Tamandua tetradactyla: one gene and its partners. The protein of the gene in region 3 interacts with the protein of the main gene of each other region in a pairwise test. Links are inferred from orthologs where the notes say so. Each region holds a gene or a part of one and is shown on either strand. Other genes may lie near its edges. The genes, in order: ZBTB32, SPAG8, PITX1 and MAGED1.

Region 1 (7,672 bases), on a different chromosome or scaffold from region 3:
TCCCAAGGCACAGCAGACTTCGGCCCTAGGGACCTCGGAGACTCTGGGAAATGGAGTTCGCGTCACCGGGAGGCGTGGGCTTGGGAAGGGGCAGGGGCAAAGGGTTAGTTTCAGTTCCTGGAGTGACCGCGGAGGCCGGTCGGTACAGCGCGGAGGGGAGAGGCTGAGGGAAAGAAGTCGGCTGGCCAAAAGCAGGGCGGAGCCCGCGTTCGGCTGGAGCCTCGGGCCGGGCGCGCCTAAACAGGCGCTGCACGCTAATTCTGTGGCTTGCTTGCTGTAAAAGGGGCGAGTGATTTGGTGTCTCACAAACCGCTCAGTACCTGCTGCGATGTCAGCTCTGACACCGAGCTCTCGACACCCGCTGCTTCCAGGGGAGAACGGAGTGTCTCGAGAGTTGGAGGTAGCGGCTGGCTCCCGGGCGGGATAGTGGGCGCATGGCCACCAGGGGCCGCTATAGGACAAGTTTCAAGACCCGTGAGACCCGGCGCACAGATTAGTTTGGACTCGACTTTTTGTCCTGAGTGGAGAGCACAGGAAACTCTTTATTATGATGATGCGGTCATCAGGCCCCGTACAGTTGATCTTCACTCATGCAAACTTAACTGCCCTCATCCCACTCGGACTTGCCGGCCCAGGCTTCTGCGGCCCACGGTCGTCCTTGGGAAGGCTCTCCTCACCTTTTCTGCTGCGCGTATGGAGCCGAATTTGCTAGTAGCCGGGTCAGGCGGCGGGCGGCCGTCGGCCAAAGAAGCTCCCTACAGTCCCTTCAGGTGGTGGAGGGAGGGGGGCTACAGGAAGAAGTCGAGGCCCGGGACGGCCTAGAGGAGGAGTAGAGGTAGGTGGAGCGAATGGTCCATCCCGGCGGGAGCTGGCTGGGCGAGTGGCCGCGCATGTGTGCCTGCATCGAGGCCAGGCGGGGGCAGCCCGCCCGGCACAGAGGGCAGCGGTAGGGCGCAGCCCCGTGCGTACGCAGGTGCTTGGTCATGGCCGAGAAGTCCCGGGAGCGCTGGGGACAGAGGCCACAAGAGAAGGGTTTCTCGCCTAGGGCGGACAGAAGGGGAGGCCAAGTGAAGGAAAGAAGGCAAAGCCTGCTGAGCTAGGGGTACATCAGGCGATGGGGCCAGCCAGTGGGTGCACGCGAGCTGGGCACGCAAAGAGGGATGCAGGAGCGCACAGACTGGAGTTGGGAAGACACTGGGCAGGAGCCCATACCTGTATGGACTCGGTAGTGCGTCTCCATCTGATGCTTGAGTGAAAACCTCTTTCCACAGACAGAACAAGAATAGGGCCTTTCCCGAGCAGGAGGGGTTGGGGGAGAGTGTTGGTGAGATGAGTAGCCTGCTCTCCTGTCCTGACCCATGTGGGTTTCTAGAGGGCCTGTGGGCACAGAAGAGTCAAAGGAGGGCAAGGATAGGCATCCCAGAACCGGGTCACTGAAACACCCAGGCAAGATATTAGGGCCACAGTGGGAAAGCAAAAGCACCTTCACCCTACTCACCTGTGTCCCCCTGATCAGACGCTTCCATCTCCCCAGGGTTGAGCTGTGTGGGATACTGGGGGAAGGAACCTGGAGGGAACAGAATGAAGTAGGGGCCCTACTCAGGCTGGACTCCTGGAGCCCCTGCCCCAGAGGAAGGATCACATTATAGGGCAGCAAGGAGCTTACCTGGGGTGGAGCTGGAAGAAGCCAACAGGTTCTGGCTCCAGAGTCCTTTGTGGGGGTTCAGGGACAGTGGGGTCCTGAGGAGGGTGCCGGGGGCAGGGCGGGGGGCAGAGTTACAGCTTTGGCAAAGCATAGGGGCCTAACCAAACCTGTCCTTGTCTGGGGAGGTGTGTCCTAAGTCTTCTTCAGGGGCTGGGCTCTGGCTTCCCCTGTGGTGGGAGCTTCCTGTACTATCCCCAGCTTAGGAAATGTACAGTAGAAATAAAGAGATATGGTGCCCTTGCGCCCATCACCACTACTGGGCCATTCCCTCCCAGCCTGGGAGGTCTTACACTAGGCCTTTCACTTACCTCTGGTTCCAAGGCCAGACCTCCTGCCAGGCTCCATTGAAGGGGGTGCTATGAGAGAAGGGAGTGCCATATCTGGACGGCCATAGCAGGATGCTCCACAGGGCAGGCTGATCCTTCCCCAAGCAGGGGCCCTCAGCCCACCAGGGCCTGGGGATGATGCTGGCTTGGAGGGGACTTGTTAGTCCCCGAAGACTTGCCTCAGAGTCCCCTTGACTCTCTCTCACCCACATGACCACTTCTGGCTTCCCATCTCTCCCCCCTTGACCAACCAGGGATTGGTTGAGTTTCTCCTCCTTTGATTTCATCTGTACCCCCTGTCCCTCCCATATTGCCCCTGCTATGTTGGGGCTCTCTCTTGGTGGCTTGGACTCATGCAACATCTCTTGTTCTTTCCCACCAGCTCTGAAAAACTTCTCTGGTCTCTGCTTCTCTCTAAAGCCTCCCAGTCCTCTCTCAAAATCCTTTAAAGGTTCCTCTGACTCCTCCTGGTGTTTCTTCGGCCCTGGATCCCACTCCTCTTTAGCCCTGTCCTTTTGAGCCCTGCTGCATGCCTCTTCCAGAGCCTGTACTCCCAAAGTCCTGGCTGCCTCCTCAAGGGGCCCTAGCTCCCCAGGCTGAAGCTCTACACTCTCCCCATAAACAAACTGCAGAAGCTGGGCAAAGGTGGAAGGGCTAATGCCTTCCACCAGAGACCACTGGCCCCTGCGGCCCAGCTGCTGGCTCACACCTGCTAGCACCAGGCTGTGGGCAGGGAACTCCTGACTACCCACAGTGATTAGGGCATCACATAGTGCTGGCCAGAGCCTGGCTGCCAGCTGTACCAGCCGGTCAGAGTTGTAAGGACTGAGCAGTCTTGTGGGGCTCAGGGGCATTGTGCCTTATCTGGGTACCAATCTCAGAGGTTCTGAGAGGAAGGTCACAGTGTAGGGTCCTTGGTGGAAAGGGGAGGGAGGAACGGCATATTCTTAAGCCTGTGAAGGTGAGGGGAGAAAGAGTCCAGGATCAGCTCTATGATCTGAAATGGGGCAAATAAACTAGCCCAAGAGAGAGCTAAGTTTATCCAGAATCATAACAGGGATGGGGCATAGGGATGGAAATCAGACCAAATTCAAGACTTAAAAAGCAAGGACCAGGTAGTTAACAAAAACACCACCAAGTAGTGAGTTTAATATAGGTGGGAACTACCAGTTTGCAATTTGACTTAAAAAATAGCAGACTCTGATATTTCCACTTCTTTAAGCCCCTCTGAAGAGCAAGACCTTTGAGCAGGCCAGACTTTCCTCATTCCAGACAAAGAGAGCACCACCAAACTCAGCCAGCCCTGGCATTTAGGGATGGCACAAGACACAGCTTCACGGGCAGAGTTTAGAAAGCTACCTAAACTCTGTCCTACCACCCCCCCCCCCCCCCCATGAGCCCATCAAGTGGAGCTCAGTCTCCTGAGAGATGGAGAGCAGCAAGAAAGGGGTCATGGCTGCAGGAGAGCAGGCTCAGGCATTCCCCTGAGGCTGAAGCTTCTAGAATGCATCCTCAGAGAAGGAACTGGAAGAGACCAAAGATTACTGTCCAGTGAATTAAGAGAGTAGGTGGTACAAAAACCACAGAAGAGAAGGTTCCTAATCCAAGGATGGCGAGGTTTTGGAGAAGGCTTTGACTCCTGAGGAAGTGGAAGAAAGGGAAATGGGAACTATAGAGGAGGAGGCTATTTTCTCTCAAGATTAGGTTAGGGAGATGGTTTAATTTTGTTTTTCATGAGTGAAAAATAGAGAATTGAAAGAACCCAGCAGGGCAGGAGTTTACCATACATCAGATCCACCACACTGGCTTTCAAGAAGAAAACTGGGAACCCAGTTACAAAGGGAAATAATCTAAAACAAGGTGCAGGTTCCCAGCAGCCATATTCTGAGGGGTGGGCTCACCATGAACAAGGACCCTTGTGGGAGGGAGAACTACTACTTGGACAATTTAGGTTGAGGGTTGCAGGTTGCCAGGGAGTTGGGGGTGGTGGTGGATATATTGGGAGGAAAGCCTCAGCTGGGGAGAAGCAACCACTCACCGGTTGTAGCTTCCTCCCTGGACACCGCATGCTCTGAACACTGTTTGGACTCCTGGGGGCCTGATGGAACTAGCTCCGCCCCTGACCTCAGAGTCCTCCATTGGATGCCCCAAATAACAGTCAGCCACAGTCCCCCAAAGGGGTGTGGCTTTTATACCCCTGACTCTGCTTCACTTCTCCAAGAAGAGTTACCTCTTCTATTTGCAGAACCTAGACATTTTGCCCCTTGACCTGTCTCCTTATTTCATTTGTGAACTCCTAGGGTCAAAGAAATGTATCTGGGGCAACAGGGACTTTTGGATAATCTGGCCTGCACTTGAATCACATCTCTACCATTTACTGGTCAAATCACCTTGGGCAAGTCTTCTTTCTCAGCCTCAGTTACCTCATCCATGAAATAGGTATACTCTCTCTTACCTCATTTGAAGATGGGGTGAAGATGAAATGACATGATGTATGTGAAAATGGTTTCTAAGTTCATAACATCATTCAAATAGTATTAGTTCTGTTTCTTAGAGGGGATAGTAGAGTCATAGTAGTTGGAAGCTGTTTCTGCTTCTACTTCAGAAGTAAAAAAGACTGAAACATCTGCATTCCAAGGAGAAGGAGAAGAAGGGCCAAAGGCATGCCTCCTCCCTTTCCCTGACTTGGTACTAAGAGGTATCACTTGCTCTTTGGGAAAGACCCCTGTACTCTGGGCCATCAGAATAAGGTATGTGAGTAACTCAAATCCTCCCATCATACTCTGGAGGGGGCAACCCCAGGAAAGGTCTGTGGTGGTCTTTGAAAAGAAAAATTCACTTTCTTGGGCTGATGACAAATGACATTTCTCTGAAATCAGGTCTCAGGGTTTCTTTCACTTCCTGCCCAATGGTCAAAGTCCCCAGAGATTTCCGCTCTTTTCACACGTTAGTACTCTTTAATCTGGGGAAGGGATGAGGTCTGAGAGACTCACATTTGTTTTTCTGTTTCTTTTTATTCTATTCCTGCTCCAGTAGTAAAATTTTCATTCAACAAATGTTGATAAATAATTTACAGTGTATACCTGGCATATCATATATGTTCACAAAATAACTGAAAGTTAAACAAGAATGTCAGGCACTGGTAGGCTGCCTTGCTGACAAAAAAGACAGTCTGGCTCCTTGGCCTCCCATTGAGATCCCGGTCCTCTGCAAGACTCAAATTTTGTGTCTCTAAGTTCCTATTCTCCCTTGGGCTCCCAGACCCTAAAATGTTCAGGTTAACCTGCTGTTCTCTCCTTCTATGCCTAACATGCCTTCCCTCTAACTCTCATCCAAGTTTGGGTGCAGGTAGGTGTTAACACATCCTAGATCATACAGGGTGTGCCAATGGGTGGGGCTGGTGGAGGGGCAATGGGGTGCAGAGAGGGGAAGATGAGTCAAAGTGAAAGGAAAAATGCAAATGGGCAACTTGTATTCATCTACTACTACTCTGAACGTTAAATATTTTCCATTTCTGAGCTTTCTAACTCTTCACATCACCACACCTAGGGACTCATCAAACACCCACATAAAAGACACATAGCCCGGACACACAAAGGGATAATCAATCCCTGATTTGAATGTACATGGAGAGAATCCTTCTTCCAACACAGAAACACATGATCCTTAAAGATATGAAATAAATTAGGAAAGCCATGAGAAGGATGCCCGAGTGTCAAGGAAAAGGTTAGGGGTCTGGGAGAGCACATCATCACCCAGTAGATTATGGTTCCCCTCACCTCCCATCGCTATATTGCATGCCTGCAACTCAGCTCCTGTCACCAGTGTGGATCATCTCTTAATGATCAAGAGATCTGGAGACTGTTCAGAGGGCAGCGACCTCTGTAAGCCAAATGTGGGTCTTGACAAGAGTATCATGGACTTTAAGGGAGCCTAAAATGGAGAAGGGGCAAGGGGACTCCCCATTTAGGGAGCAAAAGTCCCCAAGAATGGGAAACCCCATCTTGCCTCTCGCTTGGTGTCTACCCTACCTAAGGATATCCCCTTAGAGACAGCTCCTCTGAGGTATCTCTAGAGCTCTCTGTACCTCGACCCTTAGAATCAATGATGCTCTAGGCCCTTCTCTAGTCTCTCCCAACATTGCTGACAGCGCAGCCCAAGCCATCCAGCACTGAGCAGTGACAACAGAAACAAATAGCTCCTTGACTTAAAAGGATACAGACAGTGCTGACTGTTATTGAAAGATCTCTGCTCCCGACCTCAGGAACCCTGCCCACTTTCTACTTCGCAGGCTGCCTCAGCAGATATTGCCTATAATTATCCCCTTTGAGTGGAGCCAGGAAACCACAGGCCAAGAGGGCATAAGCCTGCATCCTGAGAGAAGGTAGAGTGGGTAGAAAGGTAAGAAAAGGAGTTATGTGATAAAAGGAGGTATGATTTCTGCCTCTCAGTGCTTTCGATACTCATATTACTAAATGATGTTTGAAATTTGATAATTTTAAATTCTCACTAATAGGCTTGACCAAAGGGACAATAAGGGGGGAAAATGTGTGAGGGGCTTATTGCACACCATGTCTGCGGAACTAAATAAAAAACTGCCCAGAGATCCTGGCCTCATAACCCCCTTCAGGCACAATCCAGTTTGATATAAAAATTGTGCACTTAAAAATAGTTAAAGTGGAAAATTTTAACTTACCTACATGTTACCATGATTAAAGAAAGAAATGAAAAAAAATTGGCACAGCAATGCAAAACATAATTCTCTTTATAATTGAAATGAAGCCATCAGAATAAGTCTGTTACAGGGATAATGATTTGTTTTATGAAAATTGTTCACCCTTCACTTATTTTAAATATTGAGCTCTCTCCCATTTCCAGGTCAAGTTAAACAAGATTCAGCTTTGAAAAATTCTGTGAATTTGCCACTCTTCCCAGGAATACATCTTTTCAGGAAAATTAAGGTGGCTAAACCCTCTACAACATTTTATACAGATTAAGACCAAATTTTACATGAATTTTCAAGATGTTTACTCTTCTTAGTTAAGTACATCCAGCGTATACCAGATAATAGATATGACAGGGTGAATTCGTTCCTTTCATCCCTTAAACTTATGTTCTACATTATGTGAAAATCACAGATAGACCCTATAATAGTATAACTTTTTATGGAATAATTAGTAAGAGAACTAGACTGGAAGTCAGAAAACAGGCTCCACTACATTTTCAGAAAGGACAGACTTATTTTGCCCTAATATGGGACTCTATGAAGACCCTCAGCTTCCTCAAAGGAGCTATTTTCAAGATCAATATTGAATACCAGTATGGTCCTAAATAGGGAAGAGCCCTCCACTCCAGCCTCCTCTGACTGTGTTCCTCTCCATGGGCTGTAAAGTCCAAGGGTTGGTAGGAAGTACCTACCTGGAGCCCACATCCCCTTCCTTCTAGACCATGCTCTGAGAGCCTAGAATTCTGGACTTCCTGGCTCAGATAGCTCTGAGCCTTTCCAGGGCCTGCATGGGCCTCAACCCCAGGTCTGTGCTCATGAGAGTAGATAATGCTACTGCTGTGCATACTCTAGGCCCTAACTCGAGATGGGGTGGGGGTGGTATATAGACTGAACTTGGACATACAGGCTAACATG
Region 2 (7,764 bases), on a different chromosome or scaffold from region 3:
TGTCACAAGATCATCACATAGTTTATTCATCACCATGATCATTTTAGAACATTTGCAATCACTCTAGAAAAATCAAAAGAAAAAATACATCCCATACCCCTTACCCTTTACTCTCATTGATCACCAGTACTTCAATCTACCCAATTTTTTAACCCTTTATCCCCCCAACGATTTATTTCTTTTCCTTATTTTTTTACTCCTCTGTCCATATCCTGGATAAAAGGAGCATCAGACACAAGGTTTTCGCAATCACATGATCACATGGTAAAATCTATATAGTTATACAGTCGTCTTCAAGAATCCAGGCTACTGGAACACACCCAACTCTTCTTATCACCTGCCCTTCTTTGCAGCAACACTAGAGGTTCCTGCTGTCCTGGGGACACCACAGAGAACTGAAACCTCTGGGACACAGACAAGAGGGCAGTGTACATTTCCTCACAGTTAGGGAGGCCATCTATCCTTCCAAGGAAAGGAATGACTCTGGACTGCTAGAACCCCTGGGGGAAATCGCAGGGTCAATCGTCTGTGTCTAGGAAGAGAAAGGACTTTCTACAATAATATACCTATTCAAAAACAGATTGTACTATCTGCAGAAGTAAAGAGCTCCTCCTCATTGGTCATATGTAATTAGCACCATGATAAATATTCAACTAAAATTATTTCAGTTAATAACAGGATGATAAACTATGATAAACTTATGAAAGGAAGTTATGCAGTCATTACAAGTCCATTTACACAGCCTATGTAATAATATGGAAAACATTATAAGAGGAAGACTAAGGAAACTATGCAATACATATCTTCATATGTGTTGTATATTATGAAAGGAAATTCTGGGAAAACAAATGTTGATCATTTTGTGTGCTATGTGCACCTGATGGTATCAGGTGCACAAGTCGTGACTTGTCCTGTTTAACATCATACTACAACTGATGTGGTTGGTGTCTGAGTATATTAGCATTTTAAGACATTGTTTCTTATGTCAAAAATATATTTCAGTAGAGTGAAATATGCTTCTGACCTATCTGTCCATGACACAATTCCCTCGTGGTCCGAACCTTACTCATTGGTTAGGCAGGCATCGAGCTAACCGTATTACATACTTTCTCCGATTGGGAAAGAACATTGGATACATACTCCTTTGTTCATTGGTAGTGTCGGAAGGATAAGACATCCCGTCCTCCGTAAAACAAACACGCCTCTGAAAACAATATGCAGAATCCTTAGTCTATGGATTGAATGTGCTGAGAACATGACAGTAAGATGGAGTTGTCATTAATCAGTTAAAATGCTCAAGAAGCTGAAATTCCCCTTTGTGAAAAGTGTTCGCTATTTGACAAATAGGACTCTTAGACATGGACTCCTCGAGTCAGGGGGGAGAAAGAAAGGACCCGACCCCGGTGCGCCTTTAGCTCCACCTCTCCTGCGTCCTCGACCCGCCGCTTTTTTTCCTCGACCCCCACGGCTTTGGGCGTCAGGGGTTAGCGGTGGTTCCCCCGAGTCAGTAAACGCCGAGACCCCCCGCCCTCCTACCGGCCAATGAGGTGAAAGGGTCTAAAACATTTTGGAGCCTTCCTGCAGCAGGTGACCGAGCCCCGCACTCTGCCTTCCCCGGGTTGGATGCGGGAGCTGCAACCAAAGCGGTGCCAGTATTACATATCGCATGCAATTGGAAGAGAATCCCCCTCTAAGTCTCTTTTTTTTTTTTAATCTAAGTCTCTTAGTTCTTCCAATGGAGTGAAAAATTATCTCATAGCAAATCTAGCTAGGGAATTCGTTGGAAAAAGAACTTTCACCCTGAAGGCGAAGCCAATGGAGCGGAGAAATCACCCCCGAGTTGGCAGAAGCCGCCGGGAAGGGACGAACCCGCCTCCAAAGCGGCGGCCAGCCCGCGCCGCTGCCCCGGCCTCCCCCTGCGCCCGCCCTGCGCCGGTCCTGCCTGGCAGCGCCACCCAATGAGCCGGCGGGGCCGTGCCGCTCGCGGAGCCAATGGCCGCTGCTCGCCAGCTCCCCGGTCAACCCCAGTCAGCCCGCGGCGCGGAGAACGCCACCTCCCACCCGCTGCAGAGCCCAAGTGCGGGCCTGCGTGAGAGCGGCCCGCCGCCGAGGCGAAGATGGCGGCGGCGATGGTGCTCTCCGCTGGGGTGCGCGTGGCGAGCAGGGCCCTGGTTGTCGCGGGGTCGCGGGGGGCGCAGGTGAGAAGTGGCCGCGGGGAGGGTGTCCTGCGGGCTCTGACGCTCTCCCTGACCGGGGTCCACAGTCGTCCTCGGCTCCCAAACGTGCGCACGGCCTCGCTGGGGCCGGAGCTCCTTACGCTGGCCGCTGCCTCTGGGCTGCGAGGGGAGGTCGGGCTGGTGGCCGCGGCAGTTTCCGCGGAACCCTCACCCCAGGCGAAGCGAACGGGAGATGACGGACATCCTGCGCAGACCTGGGCGCCGAGCTCTGGACAGGGTCGCTGCAGCGGCTGTTGCGTTCTCCGCCTGCCTGGAGCCCAGCTGAGCAGACGCCTGCTCTGGGAAGTCTCCTCGGTGCCTCCTGCAGGAAATGAGCTTTGACTTCTTGGAGCCAGGCTTTTTACCCCGTCTGACTCCTTCCCTTCTAGTAAGCACTAGAGTTAACCTCTCGTCTTCCCCCTTGAGCAACTCAAGGGGTCAGAGAGTTTAATTCAAGCCGTCCCTTCAACACCCACAAGATGAGTTGGCTGCATTCAGCCTTCTTCGCGCCCCCGGATGACTGGAAGTTCCCTGCCCCACAATCCTATGGGCCGGGAGAATCGAGTTCACATAATCGAACTTTTCTTTCTACTGGCTCAGGGACTGGATTCACAATCCACATGAAGAGGTCAGGTGTGACACCCAGATGAGGGATAAACTTGTGTCAAACAAGGCCGTTGCATTAAAACCTGAATGAAACAGGTGACAAGGCTTAAAGATCAGAAAAAACAAGTAAGGAAATGGAGGAAACTTATTAACAAGATGAGAGTAAATGAAAAGCACTCCAAGTAGTCCTAAGAGATGGTGAAGAAAGATGAAAGAAATGCAAATCCTTTATTTTACGTGTGAAGCCCAGAGAAAAGAAGGGGTTTATCAGAGGTAATTCAAGGGTAAAATAGGAAATATGACTAAGTCACTAAGTTCTCATTCTGGATGGTTTCCCTTGAACGGTGCTAGATCCCCTAGGTAGATTAAAAGCAGAAATCAATTATACTGAGTTGTAATATTGTAAAATTGTAATAATTTTCTGACGGGGCCCAATACCATCTGGCTCTACCCTCTGCTGCTACTGCTACTGCTGCTGCTGCTCTAAAATTCAGGATCTTTTCCTCCTTAGAAGAATGGAGTTAATGACTATCAGAACTCAGCTTCTGCTACCTATGTAATACTACATAGGAGTTGTATTATCAAATTCCTTCCTTGGGTCTGTCTGACCCACCTTCAGGTCCGAGGAGCTGCAGGTGTGACTGATGAGAATGAAGTGGCCAAGGCCCAGCAGGCAGCTCCTGGGGGTGCAGCCCCAACCATCTTCTCCCGGATCCTGGACCGAAGTCTCCCAGCTGACATTCTATATGAGGACCAGCAGGTGGGGTGCCCTTAGGATCCAGCCTCCCCAGGAATTTCATAAGCAACCCCTCAAAGTTACCGTCCTGCCTGTTGGAAGGAATGTGGTGGCCTCTGGCCAGTTACTGCCAATGATATGTCCTTCCTCCTATCCCCAGTGTCTTGTGTTCCGAGATGTGGCCCCTCAGGCTCCTGTGCACTTCCTGGTCATTCCTAAGAAACCCATTCCTCGGATTAGCCAGGCTGAAGAGGAGGACCAGCAGGTGGGAAGAATAGGGGCAGGGTTTGGCTGGGATGGGGGGTGAGAGTTGGGGTGGGGAGCTGGACTCAGATAGAGCTTTTGCTTCCTGTGAATGATGACACCTGCTTCCCTCCCTTCGTATAGCTGCTAGGACACCTACTCCTTGTGGCCAAGAAGACAGCAAAAGCTGAGGGCCTGGGGGATGGTTACCGACTGGGTGAGTGACTTTTGGTCCTTGAAACCCTCACTTCTGAGTTGAACCTACCCCTTATGTGATCTTCAGTCCTTGGCCTTTTCCACGATCGTGACCCCCTAACTCCAAGCTCCATTTCAGTGATCAACGATGGGAAGCTGGGCGCACAATCTGTGTATCACCTGCATATTCATGTACTTGGGGGCCGACAGCTCCGGTGGCCTCCAGGTTGAACTAACCAATTGACCAAGAACCCCAAGCCTGGATGCTTGAGTGGGGAGGAGGAAAACGGGCCTTGTGCTGCTAATAAACCTTGTCTTATCCAACGATGAATCCCTGTCTTAAATATGTAGAGATTTATACCACAAGAAGGAAAGAAAACCAATTCAGGGCTATGATCCCCTTTGAGTAAGAGACAGTAAGGAAGCTTAGCTTGTGTATAGAGTGTGCCTACAGATCTGAGTTCTGAGTTCTTATGACTAGTAGTATACCCTGATTCAAGCTTCTGGAATAGCAGTAGGAATTAGGATGAAGTGAGCAGGGAGAGACTGGATCCCAGGAGTAAGACTTACTCAATCCTGGCCCTCATTCAGAGGCCAAGTCAGGTTCTAAAGGAAGCTGGGGGTTAAGGGGAAGAAAGTGTCAATGTGAGGGAGTTTTGCCTTTTATTGGAGGTGAAGCAATCACACCAAAAAAAAAAAAAAAAAAAAAACCTGCTACCCTTTGACTACTACACGCCTCGCACCGTTTTGCATTTACACTATCATCTGTATTTTAATCTTTAAAAATTTTGAAAACACTCCCCTCACTTTCATTTTTTGTATGCTCTATGGCAGGGGTCACATATCATTCTTTTTCCATATGCGTATCCCCTTATTGCAGGACCATTTGCAAATTTTTGTTTCGTTGGTTTTTGTCTGTTTGCTTGTTTGTTTTTGTTTGGGGAAGTGCATGGGCGGGGAATGGAACCCGGGTCTCCCACAGGGCAGGCGAGAATTCTACCACTGAAGTACCCCGCACCCCCTTCCCCTCACTTTTGAGAATGAAGGAAGGGGAAGTTACTGTTGTCCCAACACAAACACACCAAGTAGACTTTTGCCTTTGATTCCACAGCTCTGTACTTGTCTCTAACAAAACCCGTAAAGAACCACTCTTAGAAAGTCATAAAAAACCATGCTTGGGTTTGGAGACCGAACCATAAGCCGGAGGAACCTGAAAAACCCGGCGGAATCTTGAAACTCTGGCTGAGGCGGAATGGAGACTGGAGGGGAACGCGGACCACACCAGGTTTAACTTCCGCCCCGCAGAGGACTTGCCTCCACCCCCACCCTCCACATCCGCCCAGCTCCCGTCTGCGCAGTCTCCCGGAATTATTTGTCGTCTCTATGGCAACCTGGCAGCTGGTGTCTGACGATGGAGACCAACCCGTCTAGCGAGGAAACGGAGTCGCGGTGAGAGCTGCAGCTTTGGCTGCAGGCACGAGGGTTCAAGGAAGGTCTGCTGACTTCCTCCGCTGTGCTTTTGACAATCTTGACAGCTTCGCTTTTTTTCAGGTCTTTAGATGTACAGCACAGCTCCGGAGGCCTGGGGTCCACTTCGGAACCGTTTCCTTCTTCAGATGGCGGTGCTAGGTCTGCCCTGACAGCCGCAACCGTAGCAGCTGCAGCGGCTGCATCAGTGGCATCAGCTGCTGCAGCCGCCTCCACCGCCAAAGCAGCTGCACTATCTGCAAAGACACCAGGGCCCTACTCGCAGCACAGCCTTCTCACCCAGCTCTCCTCTGACCTCAGTCTTCCTGGGGAACCCTCCACTGAATCCAGCTTTACCCAAAGAATAGGCTGCGAGAGCCAAGGCTTTGAGCCCGTCTATGTTTCCTGTATTACTCAGGACCCTTGTACCACAACTGACCTTACCTCTAGCTCTATCCCTATTCCTGGCTCTAGCTCTGTCCCTGTTCCTGGCTCTAGCTCAGGCCCTGTTCCTGGCTCTAGCTCCAGTCCTGTACCTGATTTTAGTTCTGGCCCTGTTCCTGGCTCTAGCTCTGGTCCTGTTCCTGCCTCTAGCTCTAGTCCTGGCCGTAGCTCTGGCCCTGGCTATGGCTTGGGTCCTGACTCTGGCCCTAATCCTGTCCCTGACTCTGGACCTTGTCCAGGATCTGGCCCTGAGCTCAGCTCCTACACTGTTCCAAGGAACAGAAGGCTCGGGGCAGATCTGGTCCCTGATTATGCCACTCGGAGTTACCATGGCAACTGGGGTCCTCAGAAACCACCAAGCTGGAAATTTTTGCAAGTTCCAGAACCTGGTGCCCGAGGGCTATGGAAGCCCCCAGAGGTTGAAAGGAAATCTAAAGTGCTCCACGAAGCATTGCCCCGGGGCCAGTGCCTACTCTACAACTGGGAGGAGGAGGTATTAAGGTTTTGGCCTGTTCCCTTTTCTTGATGCTGCTCCCAATTTCCTGGGGAAGGTTCATGATGAGGGTGTGTACCAGAAGGGACAACATGGTCACTCAACTTGTGGCCCACAGAGAGCCACCAACCACCTGGATCGAGTCCCCAGCATGCAGGATGGCTCTGAGAGTTTCTTCTTCAGACATGGACACCGGGGATTGCTGACCCTACAGCCACAATCACCCATGCCATCCAGCACCACCCAGAAAGATTCATACCAGTCCCCAGGAAACCTCTACCAGCCACTTCGAGGTGTGAAGCATGAGTAAGGGAACAGAATGAGTCCATTAGTCAGAGAAAAAAGAGAGGAAGGAACTTCTGGTGGGACTGTGGATTGTTCAGTGGGCATAAGGGCAGAAAAACAAGATTTTCCTTCCTTTATCTCAAGTTTGTTTCTTCTTAGCCTACTTCTTAACCAGAATCACCCACTCTGTTCACTCCCTGTCCTTCCACAGGAAAACGTGAAGCCAGGTTGGAGATGCTCCTGCACCACCAGATCTGGTGAGGCTTGGTGAAGGGGAAGGAGGAGGGGGGAGACAAAAATTTGGGGGAAATGGCCTTGACTCTCCCTAGGGCTATACAGTGAGGAGGTGCAGGCAGAACAAGAACCCAAAAAGAAGCTTTTTGAGGTTGAATCAGTGACACACCATGACTACCGAATGGAGTTGGTGCAAGCAGGGCCTCCTGCCCCCATAAAGGTGAGAACCCATTTCACCTCACGTGCACAGCTAGGTTCTGATGAGGTGTGGGAAAGCAGAGGCCCAGAGGTTAAGAGAGGGGCTGCAGGTGAAGAATAATCCAGTCTCTCTCCCTCACAGCCTCATGACTACCATTGGGAACAGCCTGAAACCTTCTGGATACAGAGGGCACCACAGCTCCCGGTATGTGAGGGTGACTAGGCATTGGAGGTGGGAGAGAAGGAGAAGGGGAAGAGGCTATTCTGTCTCACTTGTGGCAAGTGGGGGGCTGCAGAGCAGGGACAGTATCTGTCCTCATTCCTCATTCTGGCACTCCTCTAGGGGGTCAGTAATATCAAGACACTGGACACACCATTCCGGAGGAACTGCAGCTTCACAACACCAGTCCCCTTATCCCTGGGACAGCCTTTGCCCTATGAACCCGAGAATCCCCATCAATTGTGAGAAATATTGTCCATGGCCTGTCAAGGGAGGAGGGCAGGGTGGTAGAAGCGGGAGAACTACTCCTGTCTAAAGGTTGGGAAAGGGTGGTGATGTGGAATGTGGGATCTGTTTCTATATGGGGAAGAAGGTAATTCTATCTGTACTTCGTGAGGAGACTTTACATAAGAGATTATCCCTCATC
Region 3 (7,973 bases):
TTCGTTCGTTCGTTCGTTCGTTCGTTCCGGCAGCAATGCCGCACAAAAGCAGCAGACATCGGCCGGAGCCCCGGCTCCCTTCGCCGCCGACCCCGATGTCCCACCGCAGCGCTCGGAGGCGCCCCTGGCCCAGGAAGGCCTGGCCCACGCCCAGAGCTACTCTCGCCCGCCCGCGTCGGGCTTTTCCTTCCCCTACGAGAAACCCTAGTTGCTCTTCGCAAAGTCCAATAAAGACATTCCCGTGGCTCTTCCCGGGTCTGCTTGTTGACGCAGGGTTCCCGAACACACAACCGCTTCTTTAGAGCCGGGTCTCCGAGTTGATACTGACGGGCCTGGAAAACTGCAGCCGACTCTGCCGTGGCAAAGCATGGGCCCCAAGACTGGGATCGCAGAAACGAGAACCTAGGTTGGAGTCCTAATTCCAGGTTTTCCGATTTAGGAATTCCCTGAATCTAAAAATTTTCTGAGTACACTTTTCTGAAAAACTAAGGCCCAGGTATTCTCAGTTCTCCGGATCGTGGCCTCTGACAGCTGCCAGCGCCAGAGCAAGGAAACCGGGTTGCTGTCCACTTGGCCGAGGATGCAGTTATAGGGTATTGGCCAGATGTAGGGCAATGGCAAAGACCACAGGTAGCAGAACAGCAGAGAAAGGGGACTTGCTGTCACCCTGTCCTGCCCCAGGCTGAGACTCTTCATCTTTGGAAAAGAACTGGGCTGGGCATGGACACCAGGCTGCCTGGAGTCTAGGATATAAAGGTGGCATTTGTTGACCTGAGTCAGGCGGAGTGTCTTTTTCCCAGAAAAGCAGCTGTTGGATAGAGGACCTGTGATGCAGCATATATGCTCACCGGTTACGGGAGTGCCCACAGCCACTTTCGTGGCCCTCTCTTCCCCTTGGCTCCGCCACTCTCAGGAACCAGACAGCATCTGGTGGACGCCAGTGAACAATGGACCAGGAAAGCAATGGGCCCTACCAGCCACTGACCCAGCAGCCCACAACCCAGTTCCCTGCTCCCACTGGCACCCAAGGGCTGCGGGTCCTGCCTGAAAACGTCCCAGCCCTCCCCACCTGGGCAAAATGGGGGGGGGGGCGATTGTCAGGAAGACTCGGCCCTTAAAGAATCCACAGAGATCATTTTCAGCCCTACCTGAATACCCCTCCCCGACCTCTCCCCAGTAATTGCTTATGCTCAAAGAAATAAGAGTTTTCATTGGGGAGGGGCTGTTAGGTCAGTCAGAAGGAGGTAGGTGGTCTCGGTGGCACTCCCGAAACTACTTTTTCTCGTTTGAACTTCTCCAAGCCGAAGAGGCTTAGGGACTGGAATGTCCCAGAGAGTCGTGAGTGGCCCTGGGGGCAGGCTATGGTGCATTCCTTCGCTTTTCCTAAAACTTCTTGATGGGGGGGCAAGGATTAGGAGGGCTACCCCATGGGTAGGTGGTAGAATGCCCCTAGGAAGGCCCTCTGACCACCATTCTCACATTAGATTACTGCACCAGTCTTGGGCAGTCTGTTTTGAGGGAGCCAGGACTCACGAAGGATCCCCGTGGTGACTGTTTCGGTCACTTGGCAGTCCAGCCTCCTCTGCTCAGTCCAGCCAGGACCCAAATTTCCTGAAAGTCACAGAATTATTGCTGGCTCTGCGTGGCCTGAGAGGGATGCAGAAGAGGGCACAAGGTGCCAATTCAGTAAGCTCTCTTCCCTCCCCATGTCCCATTCTCCAGGAACCTGGAGGCTGCAGCAGCAGGCAGGGATTGCTGTGTCCCATGTCGGTCATGGGAACTGCAGCACAGTGCTGGTCAAACCTCGCCCAAAGTCACACAGGGGAAACTGAACCTCTGCTCTTACTCCAGAAAGACTGCTATCCTGTATGTGTGTGCGTCTGTGTGTGTATGTGTGGCACCTATGTGTACAAGAAGCCCCCATCCTGATTGGGACAGTGGCCAGTCGGAAAGCATGGCTGGGAGAGAGCAGTGAGAGACAGCATTGAATACCCAGGTTCCTTCTCGAGCCATGCCTGGGATCAGCCACAGCCCCGTCTCTCAATTACTTCCTCTCCCCTGCTAATTCAGTACTGCCCAAATTCAGCAGAATGACTCTCCTGGCCTGTCCCCACTAACCTGAGCCCCTTCTGGGTTTCAAGGCCCCTGGGACCCTGAGCTTCACTGGCAAGGGTGTGAGGACCTTTCCATTCACACAGCAGGCATCAAGTGTTTCAAATAAAGGGGCTGTTGTGGCTGCCTGGAACACTGCCAGAGGCCTGGATCCAGATGGGCACACAGCAGGTGCTCAATAACTGCATTAAATGCATAAACATAAGGGATGCAAGCCCCCCTCAGACCACATAGCTGAAGCTGCAGTCACAGAACAGTACCCACCCACCCCCAATCCATGGACTCTTTTGGCCCTCTGGGAAGTAGGGGACTTGTGACCTTCGAAGCCTCAGGATGCCCACAGGCAGGCTGTCCTTTTCCATGGCTCCACCCAGTGGTGTACCATGCTTCCCACCTTGGCCTGACACTTGGCGGGCTGAGAACACACCTCCTACCCCAGACCAGCCAGCTTTCGTGCCAAACAGCCTGGGTGCCCCGGGACCCAGAGGCCTGGCAGTGTGCACATTGTGCCTGTGAGCCTGGACTCAACACTCCCACATGTGGACGCAGTATGTGTGTGTTGGGTGTACATGGCACACCTGTGTGAGTGTGCACTCTCTAAGGGTGTCTGTATCCAGACCGGCTGGGTGGCACACTGCTGGGGTAAGCAGCTCCAGGGAAGATAGTATGTGAAGGGGCAGCATGTTGCACCACCTGAAAGCTGCTGCCAAAGTTTCAGCCAAGAAATGTGGTAAAGGGGGCTGAGGGTAAACGTCCTTCCCTCATAACCAAGACTAATTAATTTCCTCTCAGGGGCCTCTGAACTTAAAAGAAACTTCCTTTGGGGAGGAAAGGGCGGGAGTCAAGTCATTGAGTCTCCCCATCCCAAATTTAGGAGGCATCCTCTCTCTAGCCTCCGTCTCAGAATGACTGTGGGCCCTCTCCCCATGGCCCAAAGCAGGGGGCCTTGGGCCGAAGCTGAAAGAGTGGGAGGCAGGTCTGGTTGTACCCTGCACTTGGCCCTGCCCAGCAATCCACACCAAGGAGCTCAACCTGGGGCCTGCGTGTTGCCTCAAATGAGGGGCAGGGTGAGAACTCGACATCAGTGCCTGCAGAGCACCCCAACATTGACAGCCTGCGGTATTCTGTCCCAAGCAGAGACCCTGAGGAACAGATAAGGATGCGCTGGGCCTGGAGAGTAGGGAAGGGCTTCTCCCCATAGGCTGCCTCCCAGTGTTGCTCCCTGGGTTGCTGTTTCTGGTGGAGCAGATCAGGTGAGGGGGAAAGAGCAGCCTGGGAGTCCAGCTGTGGCCAGGAGCAGGTCAGGGCAGCACCCTACCGCCACAGCTGTCGCTTGTTTATTCAAGACGCTGAGGTCTCAGGGCCAGTTAACAATTGTTAAGCAAAATCCCTTGACAAAGTTCACTGAAGCGGGAGGACTCAGGGAGGGGACCACCCGTGGGGGTGGGGAGGGTACCTTTGCCTGTGCGCAGCAAGGCCCCACTGGTGCTGCAGCTTAGTTCCCACTGTGTTGGGGAGAAGCTCCGAAGATGGAAGGCCTCGACTGCCAGCCTGGGGTTGGGAGACCAAAGTCATCTGCCCCACCAGGCCTGTGCCTCCAGACCTAAGAAGCTCGAGCATGGCCCCCCACCCCCTCCCTGGGGCAACACTGCCCTGCAGGGGGCAGAACAGACCCCCGTGGCTGCCATGGCCCAGGCCTGGACGGTTTGAAGAGGCCGCTGAAGGTGCAAAGCAGAAGAGGCTGCGGGGGATCTTGGGGTCTCCCGCTGCACTCGCCAGCGGTCTGGAGCCAACAGAAACGTTTTGTCTGATTAGAAGCCATCATTTCTGTCCCAATCCTGGAAAACTGCGATACAGAGGAGGAGGCCTGAGAAGCAGCCTTGGGGGAGAGGGTCCAGGCTAATTAGGAGGCAACATCCGGGGGCCCATTAGAGCGCAGGCTGCTGTCACTCAGCCGGGTTTAGGTCCCAGGAGAAGAGGCAGGGGGAGGAGAGGCCGGCGGCCCTCGATGAGGACCCCGCTGGGAGCTGCGGGAGGGGGCCCCGGGCTCTGCCCCGGCTCTGGGCGCTGGCTCGGAGGCGCCCGCTCGGTGCGATCCTGCTCGGCGAATATTCACTAATCCTGGGACTGTTCTCGCCGGGGACTAGGGACTTCGAGGCGGCCCAGACAGGAGTTGATTCTAAGTGAAACAAGTCATTTGGGAACTGAGGTGGGCACGAGCCGCGCGGGACTTGCAGGCCAGATGCGTTTCTTTTGTGCGGCGGAGGGAGAACTCGGTGTGTCACCGGGGAAGGAGGGAGAGGCACAGCGAGGCCGCGGGGGGCGGGAAGGCGGCGGGAAGGTGGCTGCCGAGGGGGAGGGTGCGGGCGAGGCAGGGAGGGAGGGAGGGCGGCAGAGAGGGCGCGGCGGCGAGGGCGGCTCGGGGCTGGATTCCGCCCGCGCTCCTTCGCTCGCTCGCTCCCTCCCTCCCCAGCCCCCTCCCACCCCGGCCCACCCCACCCACCACCCCTGGCGCAGGGACTGCTGGAACCTGGCGGTGCGCTCTGTCGCTTTAAGACAGACTCTGCCGGCGCCGTCCCGACCCTTAGAAACCGGCCCCGGATCGGGAGCCGGGGCCGGGCAGGCAGCTGAGGCCGAGCTGCACGAGCGCTGCGCGGAGCGCGGGGCCTGGCGCCCGGGCGCGAGAAACCGCCGCCGCAGTCGCCGCCGCCGCCGCCCGCCTGGCCCCGCAGTCCATGGGGCGGGCGCGGCGTCGCTGTGGGCGCGGGCAGCCCCCGGGAGCAGCCGCTTAGGCGCTGAGCTCTTGTCCCCGCAGGTCGCAGCCAGGGCGGCCGGGCGCGCCCAGCCCCGGCGCCTGGAGCGCCCGCCGCGGTCCCCGCCTCTATGGACGCCTTCAAAGGGGGCATGAGCCTGGAGCGGCTGCCGGAGGGGCTCCGGCCACCGCCGCCGCCGCCGCACGACTTGGGGCCCGCCTTCCACCTGGCCCGCGCCGCCGATCCCCGCGAGCCGCTCGAGAACTCCGCCAGCGAGTCGTCCGACACGGAGCTGCCAGGTAAGCGCGGCTCCCCTCGCGGCGCGTACGGAGCCTTCCCAGGCTCAGGGTGCGGGGAACCGGGAACCAGGCCTGGCGCCCGCGCGGCGCTATCAGGACCCCTTCCGCCCCCAAAACTTTGCTTTTCCTGTCCTTGACCTGACGATAAACGCGGAAATTTACACCACCACCACCCCCAAAATTAAACACACCCAAAGGCATTTCTACGATGTCCCCACGCACCAAGAGACCGGCAGACACACGGACCTGCGAGTTGAGAGCAGGACTGACATCCCCTCTAGATCAGGGACAAATAGAACGAAGAAAAAGTTGGTTTCGCGCAACTGGGAACTGAGGGTGCGCTCGCGCGGAGGGAGAGGGGCACATGTAGAAGAAAGGGTGGACGTCGGACGAATAAGTGTCCAGAAAGCTGAGAGGGGGACAGTCAACTGTACATACGGTGGGTGACAGATCGAGGGGGCGAGTCGAGAGAAAACGGGGGTTGACGGGGGGCAGTGTCAAATAAAAGGAAGCCAGAGAGGCAGCGAGGGACAGCGGGCCAAGAGGCCCGCTTGGGCTCCGGGCAGGGCCGGTCGGGACCCTGATCGAGAGATTCGGCTTCCACGTGCGCCGCCGGAGCCGAGAACCGCCAGGCAGCTCAGCCAGGGCTCCGACGCGACTCAGTCACGTCTCTCCGGGCGCTGCCTTTAGGTCCGAGATCGGATTTTTCCCCAGCCAAGAGTGGAGCGGGCCGGTGGGCGTCGCGGGCAAGCGGCACGACTAGTGCCGGGCGGGTCCAGGCTGCCTGGGGCTCTCGCGCCTCCCGCCCTAAATCGGCGCTGCGGTCGAGCTCCTAGTTCCCTGGGCCAGGGGCGCCTCTTCCTGTGTTCATTTCTTAATCCAACACTGAGTGTTTCTCTCCACATTTTTAATCTCTATTTGTTTCTGTTTTGCATCCCTAAGTGACTTTCACTGAGGGGTTTTGTTCGCTTGGTTAAAAAACATCGGACTGTGCTTTTGCTTTTAAAGTTTTAAGCGTGGTCTTTGTTTTTTATTTTTAAAATACATAGTTATAGATTGATTTTTAAAACTAAGTCTATGAGTTGAATTGGCAATTTTAACCTTTTTAATTTAAAAGATTTAATATATTAGATGAATTTCTCTGGAATTTAAAATATCTATTTGAAGCATAATCTGGGAGATTTTTTAAAAGTCAATCCAAAATGGCGAATTTCTCTGAGATTGTCTCAAAACCCATTTTCAGCGGTGTTATTTTGGAGATTTAAATTCTCTAACTATAATGTATGTCTCTTCAATTTAAAAATAATCTCTTCGAATAAACTAATCATTGGAAGGGGGTTAAAAATCTATCTACAACAGTACACTGATTTTTTTTTTAATCCTAGAGAAATAAATGCCTGTGTTCTGCCTGCAGTTTATACACAAACAGGACTGTATTTATTTAGGGGTGTGTTTGCTCCGAGGTTTCACGCCTATTAACCTCCATTTACTCTGTGTTCCTACCTGCCTATTTTTGAGCATTTGTGACCATTTCTGTGTTTTTAGGTATAGAGCTGTGAACTTTTCTGGGCTTCCTGGTTTGTTCTTAAATTATTTTCCTATATGTTTCAATGTTTCTATGACTGCCTGTGTTTTGTGTAGTTTTAATGAGGGGAAAAGAGAAAGAGCCAGTTTACGGGTCACCTAGACAGGGTGGGCTGCAGCGGTTGGGGTTTTCTAAGCCTTGGGACTCGAGGCGGAGAGCTGAGGCCGAGAGCCCGGGGCCTGACCTAGGCCTCCGGCACAGCTCTGGGGAGAGGAAAGCAGAGGGCTGCAGGCCACTGCCTGGCTTTTGTCCCCCAAACACCACTGGCTTTAGGCTGGAAAGATCCTGGCTCAGAAAAGCAGAGACCCCTTAGATTTAGACCTCAAGAATCCACAAAAAAAATTATTTTTAAAAAAGCGCACTTACCGGTGACATCCGCAGCAGCCCCAGAGGCTGAGCCTGAGAGCGGGCTGCAAGGGCAGGCCCTGCGAGAACCCAGGCCCGCGGCTCTGGCTCCTGGTCTTTTCTCCTGGGCACTCCAGACCAAAGGTTCCTACTGACTTGACAACCAGGGACCCGGGGGGCTCTTTCCAATGCCAGGGCCCCTGGCGGGAGGGAGAGCAAGCGCTGACGGCCGGCGCTTCGGCGGAGCCGGGACCGGGTGCCAAAGGGCGTAAGCCCGAGGTGACCGGCTCCCCGTCCCGCCTGCCGCAGAGAAGGAGCGCGGCGGGGAACCCAAAGGGCCGGAGGACAGCGGCGCGGGCGGCGCGGGCTGCGGCGGCGCCGAGGACCCCACCAAAAAGAAGAAGCAGCGGCGGCAACGCACGCACTTCACAAGCCAGCAGCTGCAGGAGCTAGAGGCCACGTTCCAGAGGAACCGGTACCCGGACATGAGCATGCGAGAGGAGATCGCGGTGTGGACCAACCTCACGGAGCCGCGCGTGCGGGTGAGCGCCGGCTGCCTCTGCCGCAGCCCTGGAAAGCCTAGACCCGCGCGCGCAGACTTTCACCCTCTACCCACCCCTCAGACTTCTCCTTCCCTCCGCCGGAGAAGGAACCCCACCCTAGGTTCCGGGTCACCCAGCGGCTGCTAATCCTCCTAACCCCTGATGCCCCTCCAGGCGCCCCAGCCTCCTCTCACCCACATCCTACCGGACCCTCAGCTCTACCACCATCCGGGCCTAAAGACCAGTGGCCCCAGTGGGCTCTCCGAGGCTTGGAGGGCCCAGAGACCACACGGATGTTAGTGGGATACTCTGGGCCCAAGATTCTGGTCAGATGATT
Region 4 (7,256 bases), on a different chromosome or scaffold from region 3:
GGGTACAAGAAGGGCTTTCCAGATACAAATTGTTGATCTTCATAGTGGTTACACAGTTGTGTTCTCTTTGTGAAAATGTTTTGAGGTGTACACTTATGATATGTGCATCTTTCTCTATGAACTTTAAGTTTACTTAAAAATAACACCTACAATTTTCAAGTGGTTCACTAAACCAGATAAATAAAAAATAGATGGTTGGATAATTGGATGGATGGATGGATGGACAGGTGAAGACAGGAAGATGACAGATAGAGGAAGCTAATATAGCAAGTTTAAAATTGTTGAATCTGGGTTAGAGTATAACAGTGTCCACTGTACCCTTCTTTCAACTTCTGCTTGACTGAAATTTTCAATAAAAAATATTAACCTAGAGACAGATTTTGGGCTGCTAGGCCATCTGCTCTCCTACTACATGCCTAGCAATAAACTCTTTCTCTCCTTGAAAAAAAAATACTGAGCTAAAAATACTCATCATGTCTCTCAGCACTTAATATCTGTAAGTAAGGAGTACTGTGAGCACCTGATATATTCTGACTTGTGAAAAGAAACTAATATAAAAAATGAAACGCCTATACCCAGACTGACTGTGTTTCATAGAATAATAAAATAAAATATTCTGCATATTTCCTATTGCTCAACAATAAACAGAGAGAGGGAGAGAGAGGGAGAGAGAATTTGCCCAGGACTGAGAGTCTGACAGACCCTAACTAGATGAATTCTTTTGCCACCATTTATCAAGTTACCATACCCCTCTGAGTCTTATTTTTATCATTAGTTAAAAGACAATGATACTGAACTTAGAGGATGACTTTGAATATTAAGGGAAAAACTATATTTAAAAGCATCGGGAGAACAGACACTGAATTCCTTTCAATTACCATGTCAAACATTTATGGGCAATATTTTATGAACATGGAGTGATAAAAATCAGTAGGAGAGTAAGCAAATGTGCTATAGGATCACACACAATGCATCACAAAGAGAATGGGAATGAGGTGCAGATGGAGACATGCTGGTGGCCAATAAAAAAAAAGGAATATGGGAAAATTATGAGGACGGATCCAGTTATTCAAGTATAAAGAAGGTTCCACTATGACTCTGCAGAAGGGCTCTATGATAGGGTGTGGGAGAGGGAGAAATGTAGAAGGCAGAGTGAAAAACAAAAGCAGAGCCCCTGACACAGATATATTCTGTTTCCCAGTAATATCTGAATAATTTGTGCCCTCACTTTCTTCAGGTCTCTGTTGAAATGTCACCTTACCAGGGAAGTCTTCCTGACCATCCTACATAAACAGTACAACCCACTCCCATCATAATCTATCATATATTTATTACATATAAATTTACTTAAAAGACTTTGTTTATGTTTTTCACTGCTGTATTCTCAGAGCTTCGAATACTGGCTCATAAAAGTATTCAATAAAAAAATTATTGCATGACTAAATGGATGGTTGCAAAATGGGTTAAAACCAGTATGGTGACATCTAAACGCTAAGTAATAAAGATCTGAATAGAGAATAAAGATAGGCCAACAACATTATCCTTTGAAAAAGTTTCTAAGAGTTTTGGTTCCATGAAATCTCTGCCTCGTATATTCTAAAAACTGAAAATTAGATCTAGACTAGAAAAGAGAATCACAACTTATTTTGGCAAGCATAACACCCACTAATTACAGCAGGAAGAAGAGGAAGGAGTAACTTGGTTTTCAAGATCTTTGGTTAAATATCTCTTCAAAGCTGAAAATTCTTTATGAAGATAAATTTAACGATCCGTTCCCCACTCTTGGGTAAAGAATTGAAACAAAAAATTGTAATTATTAACATTCTCACAAGATAAATTTCACATGATGACAAACGGAACAGAAAGACACATTTCACATTACAGCAAATTTTTTAGAAAAAGATAAAGTTCACATCGCAACAAATAAATCACATTGCAAACAAATAACACTTGCAAACTCCTGGGGGAAATCTTTGTCTAAAAAATCTGCCAACTTGCTATTCAATATTGCTACCAGAGACCAGAAAAGGATTTGCTTAATAAACCCAACTTACATGAGGGAATATATTTATGATTAGATGTCATTCCTGTCAGCCACTTCTCTAAGAGAAGTACTAAAGGAGATGGGAAAACTTCCACCTCCAAACTGTGACACGCAAAATCCTCTGTATTTGCCCACACAAAAAAAATTGGGGGATTCAATTTTATGCCATCATGTGATAAAAATGCCACGAGCAGAAGGCAACAATTGTTGTGTAATAATGTTTAGAGTAAAAAAATAAAAGGACATAATAATTTGAACAATTCTTTATGTCTCTTAGGACGCTGATATTTCTGCTTCCTTGCTTATTTTTTTTAAAGAACTAAAAAAACAGCCTTGACTCTGAAGAGGTCAAGCTTGATTATGGAAAATATGTTATTCGCTGACCTCGGCAAGAGGAAGAGAAGAAAGATAAGGAGCCAGCAGAGGGAGTAAAACACTGAGGTCCGAAGGAAGAATGACGCTCAGAGTAGGGGACAGGGGTTGCAAAAGGTCTGAGGCAGAAAGGGGGTGGCGTGGAAGATGGCGGTGGGAGGTAGGAAAGAGATCTGTGGGAGAGGGAATGACTCAGGATCAGAAAGATCCAGAAGAGGATCCGGGATAAGAAGAGAGGTGAAAGAACACGAACGGGGATCACAAGAATAAAAGGCGCACCGCAGTCAGGAGGGGGGATGAGAGCCTGCCATTCCTGAAGCGCGACTGGGGCGGGTGGGGGAAGGGAGCAGCGCGGCGATCATAACCGGAGGCGCCACAAGCTTTCTTCACTCAGTGTATTCTGGAAAATGAATTCCGCTTATTTCCACACCACGTGGAGGCAAGGAAGGAAGCTTCCAAGGGTCTACTGGGTTTCATTTGTGAGATTTATCAGTCCCCTTCTTTACACTCACCTTAACGAAGAAAGCGGCGACGACAGCGTGACCGGAAGCACTCTTTTTGTTTGGCGGAAGCTTTACCTTCTGCAGCCTCTTCCCCGCCTCCTTCATTCCAAGCAACTTCCTGTGTCTCTCGTAGCAAGTTCTGCAATATATGCTTTAGCTCATAGGCTTTCTCACCAGATCAGAACCTTGGATAGTTATGTAAACCGAATTGACCAGAGAATCAGTAACATTTTAAAAACCCTTCCCTAGTTATCCAAGAAACCCAGAAATTCTTTATCTCTGCCTAACCCCGAATATGCAATGTCACCTCACCTTGTTGATTCTGCCTTAGATATATCTCCTTTCCCCCTTACGCCCTTAATCCAGGACTCATTATCTTTTTCTCCTATGTCTACAGTTAGATACTTATACTCTTTTGTTTCATGGCATACTATTTGGAATAAAAGTTCATTTTTATTAGAGATATACTTTGATTTCAAGATTTTGTAAGCTTAAATTTGAATCATTTTTGTCTTACATGATGTATATAAATTTCCAAATGAGTAATGGTAAACTTGTTTAGAAAGCATTCATCCTGATTACTCTGCAAAAAGAGGAAGAAAATGACAACTGACAAAAATATTTGAGTAATAAGAATAACCCTTATTCTGTTTCAAAGACTTACAGAATTATTTATTGCCACTACCTACAGAAAGCTCTCCCAAGCCCCAAATTTGCACACCAATTCTCCATTTTTGTGTGGTCATTTTTCATTAGTCCACAAGTGTATACTAACCGCCTACCATATCTCCAACACCATACAGTACCTAAAGGCATTCTACTAGGAGCTCACAGTTTGGTATGAATAAGTGATCATAATGTATTCAGGGCAAAGTCAGGGACAGCACAAGATTCTTGTTTTTGCTGATATTTGTATAATTCCTTTCAAAAATTTCGCTCACATTTTCTCATTCAACCAACAGGTTTTGAGCATCTACTCAGTGCAAGGTTCTGTGACTGTTACTGCCTGTACAAAGAAGAATAACACATTCCTGGATTCCAAGACTCTACACCCAATGGGGGAGAGAAACAAATAAATACCAGGACTGCAATGTGACAATAAAACTTAATAAAGAGGAGACAATGCAGGAACTATGTCTATTGACTCATGAATTTTGGACGCCCAAAAGAGACTTTATCTCCTACAGAGTGCACAATAAAGAATGGTCGAATATTGAATAAATGAAAGGGGAATGGCAGCGGAGATAAAGCACACTGTAAAAAGAACAATGGTGACCAGCATGGCTGCAGATATGAAAAGAGGCCATAGAGGCATGAATCTTGTTTACCATGTTATGGAGTTTGGACTTAACTATCAGGAAAACAAGAAGCCAAAGAAGGATTTTAAGCAAAAAAAGCGTGTATTCATGAGACTCAGAGTTAGAGCTCTGAAGCTATGAAAGTCAGCACCACCCCATGCAGGAACTGTTTATAAAGTTGAAAAAGGGATCAGACTTCGAATAGAGATATGAATGAAACTGATTTGGATAGGATTAAGGTATATCAAAATGCAGGGGAAAGGATGATATCATCCATATTTTATAACTTCAATTTCTGTCTAAGACTAAAGAGAGAAAACGTTATTGGGTGCAAAATTTTTATTTTGGGTAGTGCATTTCCTAATTTAACTTGTATGGTAAGTTTAGTTGGACACAATAAGTACATGAAATCTTGAATAGAGCATGACATTTTCTTGGTTTGTTCAGGTTAATGTGGTGCCCCAATATATCCCAGAGTATTTGGGGCAGTGAATAAAAAAGTATTTGCAAAGTCCCCTTAGGGGACTGGGGAGAAAAGAGGAAATATTCACCTTCCCCATTTGGAGAATTTCTGATATTCTCACAAGCAGTGGGGACAGGCAAACCAATAGGTCCAGCCTTCGATCTTGGGGTTTGCCCTTAGGAAACATATTCTGCAAAGGATAGGCTAAGCCTACTTAAAATTAGGCCTAAGTGTCACCCCTAGAGAACCTCTTTTCTTGCTTAGATGTGGCCCCTGTCTCTAAGCCAGCTTGGCAGGGGAAATCACTGTCCTTCCCCCTGTGTGGGACATGACTCCCAGGGGTGTAAATCTCCCTGGCTATGTGGGACAGAAATCCTGGGATAAGCAGGGACCCAGCATCAAGGGATTGAGAAAGGCTTCTTGGCCAAAAGGAGGAATAGAGAAATGAGACAAAATAAAGTGTCCATGGCTGAGAGATTTCAAGTAGAGTTGAGAGTTTATACTGGAGGTTATTCTTTTATTTTATTTTATTTATTTTATTTTTTATTAATTAAAAAATTAACTAACACAACATTAGAAATCAATCCATTCTACATATGCAATCAGTAATTCTTAATATCATCACATAGGTGTATGGTCATCATTTCTCAGTACATATGCATCGATTTAGAGAAAGAAATAGCACGACAACAGAAAAAGAAATAAAGTGCTAACACAGAGAGAAAACACAAATAAAAATAAAAAGTACAAAAATATATAAGAGAAAAAAGAAACAAAAAAAAAACTATAGCTCAGATGCAGCTTCATTCAGCGTTCCAACATAATTACATTACAATTAGGCAGTATTGTGCTGACCATTTTTTTTTTTAAGAAATCATACCATTCTACATATGCAATCAGTAATTCTTAACATCATCACATAGATGCATGATCATCGTTTCTTAGTACATTTGCATCGGTTTAGAAGAACTAGCAATATAACAGAAAAAGATATAGAATGTTAATATAGAGAAAAAAATAAAAGTAATAATAATAAGAACAAAACAAAACAAAACAAAAACCTATAGCTCGGATGCAGCTTCATTCAGTATTTTAACATGAATACTTTACAATTAGGTATTATTGTGCTGTCCATTTTTGAGTTTTTGTATCTAGTCCTATTGCACAGTCTGTATTCCATCAGCTCCAATTACCCATTATCTTCCCCTGTTTCTAACTCCTGCTGAACTCTGTTACCAATGACATCTTCCAAGTTTATTCTTGAGTGTCGATTCACATCATTGGGACCATACAGTATTTTTCTTTTAGTTTTTGGCTAGATTCACTCAGCATAATGTTCTCTAGGTCCATCCATGTTATTACATGCTTCATAAGTTTATCCTGCCTTAAAGCTGCATAATATTCCATCGTATGTATATACCACAGTTTGTTTAGCCACTCGTCTGTTGATGGACATTTTGGCTGTTTCCATCTCTTTGCAATTGTAAATAACGCTGCTATAAACATTGGTGTGCAAATGTCTGTTTGAGTTTTTGCCCTTAATTCCTTTGAGTAGATTCCCAGCAATGGTATTGCTGGGTCGTATGGCAGTTCTATATTCAGCTTTTTGAGGAACCGCCAAACTGCATTTCACAGTGGTTGCACCATTTGACATTCCCACCAACAGTGGATAAGTGTGCCTCTTTCACCGCATCCTCTCCAGCACTTGTCATTTTCTGTTTTGTTGATAATGGCCATTCTGGTGGGTGTGAGATGATATCTCATTGTGGTTTTGATTTGCATTTCTCTAATGGCCAGGGACACTGAGCATCTCTTCATGTGTCTTTTGGCCATTTGTATTTCCTCCTCTGAGAAGTGTCTATTCAAGTCTTTTTCCCATTTTGTAATTGGGTTGGCTATCTTTTTGTTTTGAGTTGAACAATCTCAGTATAAATTCTGGATACTAGACCTTTATCTGATATGTCGTTTCCAAATATTGATTCCCATTGTGTAGGCTGTCTTTCTACTTTCTTGATGAAGTTCTTTGATGCACAAAAGTGTTTAATTTTGAGGAGCTCCCATTTATTTATTTCCTTCTTCAGTGCTCTTGCTTTAGGTGTAAGGTCCATAAAACCGCCTCCAATTGTAAGATTCATAAGATATCTCCCTACATTTTCCTCTAACTGTTCTATGGTCTTAGACCTAATGTTTAGATCTTTGATCCATTTTGAGTTAACTTTTGTGTAGGGTGTGAGATATGGGTCTTCTTTCATTCTTTTGCATATGGATATCCAGTTCTCTAGGCACCATTTATTGAAGAGACTGTTCTGTCCCAGGTGAGTTGGCTTGACTGCCTTATCAAAGATCAAATGTCCATAGATGAGAGGGTCTATATCTGAGCACTCTATTCGATTCCATTGGTCGATATATCTATCTTTATGCCAATACCATGCTGTTTTGACCACTGTGGCTTCATAATATGCCTTAAAGTCAGGCAGTGCAAGACCTCCAGCTTCGTTTTTTTTCCTTAAGATGTTTTTAGCAATTCGGGGCACCCTGCCCTTCCAGATAAATTTGCTTATTGGTTTTTCTATTTC

Evidence for each region.
Region 1: the proteins of PITX1 (region 3) and ZBTB32 interact in a two-hybrid assay, tested with the Homo sapiens proteins (2 studies listed by BioGRID). The link is inferred for Tamandua tetradactyla from reciprocal best matches to the Homo sapiens genes PITX1 and ZBTB32.
Region 2: the proteins of PITX1 (region 3) and SPAG8 interact in binary tests that used the Homo sapiens proteins (3 or more experiments, as listed by UniProt). The link is inferred for Tamandua tetradactyla from reciprocal best matches to the Homo sapiens genes PITX1 and SPAG8.
Region 4: the proteins of PITX1 (region 3) and MAGED1 interact in binary tests that used the Homo sapiens proteins (3 or more experiments, as listed by UniProt). The link is inferred for Tamandua tetradactyla from reciprocal best matches to the Homo sapiens genes PITX1 and MAGED1.

The regions. Positions count from the first base shown.
Region 1 is NC_135342.1:30,268,546-30,276,217, forward strand, and holds ZBTB32 (zinc finger and BTB domain-containing protein 32), read right to left. Parts: upstream 2,898-7,672; 5' UTR 2,886-2,897; coding exon 2,014-2,885; intron 1,741-2,013; coding exon 1,667-1,740; intron 1,568-1,666; coding exon 1,499-1,567; intron 1,378-1,498; coding exon 1,213-1,377; intron 1,042-1,212; coding exon 767-1,041; 3' UTR 505-766; downstream 1-504. UniProt on the Homo sapiens protein: DNA-binding protein that binds to the to a 5'-TGTACAGTGT-3' core sequence. May function as a transcriptional transactivator and transcriptional repressor. Probably exerts its repressor effect by preventing GATA3 from binding to DNA.
Region 2 is NC_135328.1:59,954,154-59,961,917, forward strand, and holds the start of SPAG8 (sperm-associated antigen 8), read left to right. Parts: upstream 1-4,749; 5' UTR 4,750-5,407; coding exon 5,408-5,445; intron 5,446-5,547; coding exon 5,548-6,400; intron 6,401-6,518; coding exon 6,519-6,693; intron 6,694-6,896; coding exon 6,897-6,942; intron 6,943-7,024; coding exon 7,025-7,139; intron 7,140-7,259; coding exon 7,260-7,322; intron 7,323-7,460; coding exon 7,461-7,583; 3' UTR 7,584-7,764. Other genes in the region: adenosine 5'-monophosphoramidase HINT2, read left to right, coding at 2,118-2,198, 3,442-3,582, 3,719-3,823, 3,946-4,018, 4,136-4,227. UniProt on the Homo sapiens protein: Microtubule inner protein (MIP) part of the dynein-decorated doublet microtubules (DMTs) in cilia axoneme, which is required for motile cilia beating.
Region 3 is NC_135346.1:14,175,154-14,183,126, reverse strand, and holds the start of PITX1 (pituitary homeobox 1), read left to right. Parts: upstream 1-4,968; 5' UTR 4,969-4,995; coding exon 4,996-5,164; intron 5,165-7,403; coding exon 7,404-7,636; intron 7,637-7,973. UniProt on the Homo sapiens protein: Sequence-specific transcription factor that binds gene promoters and activates their transcription. May play a role in the development of anterior structures, and in particular, the brain and facies and in specifying the identity or structure of hindlimb.
Region 4 is NC_135353.1:118,152,758-118,160,013, forward strand, and holds the start of MAGED1 (melanoma-associated antigen D1), read right to left. Parts: upstream 3,007-7,256; 5' UTR 2,929-3,006; intron 1-2,928. UniProt on the Homo sapiens protein: Involved in the apoptotic response after nerve growth factor (NGF) binding in neuronal cells. Inhibits cell cycle progression, and facilitates NGFR-mediated apoptosis. May act as a regulator of the function of DLX family members.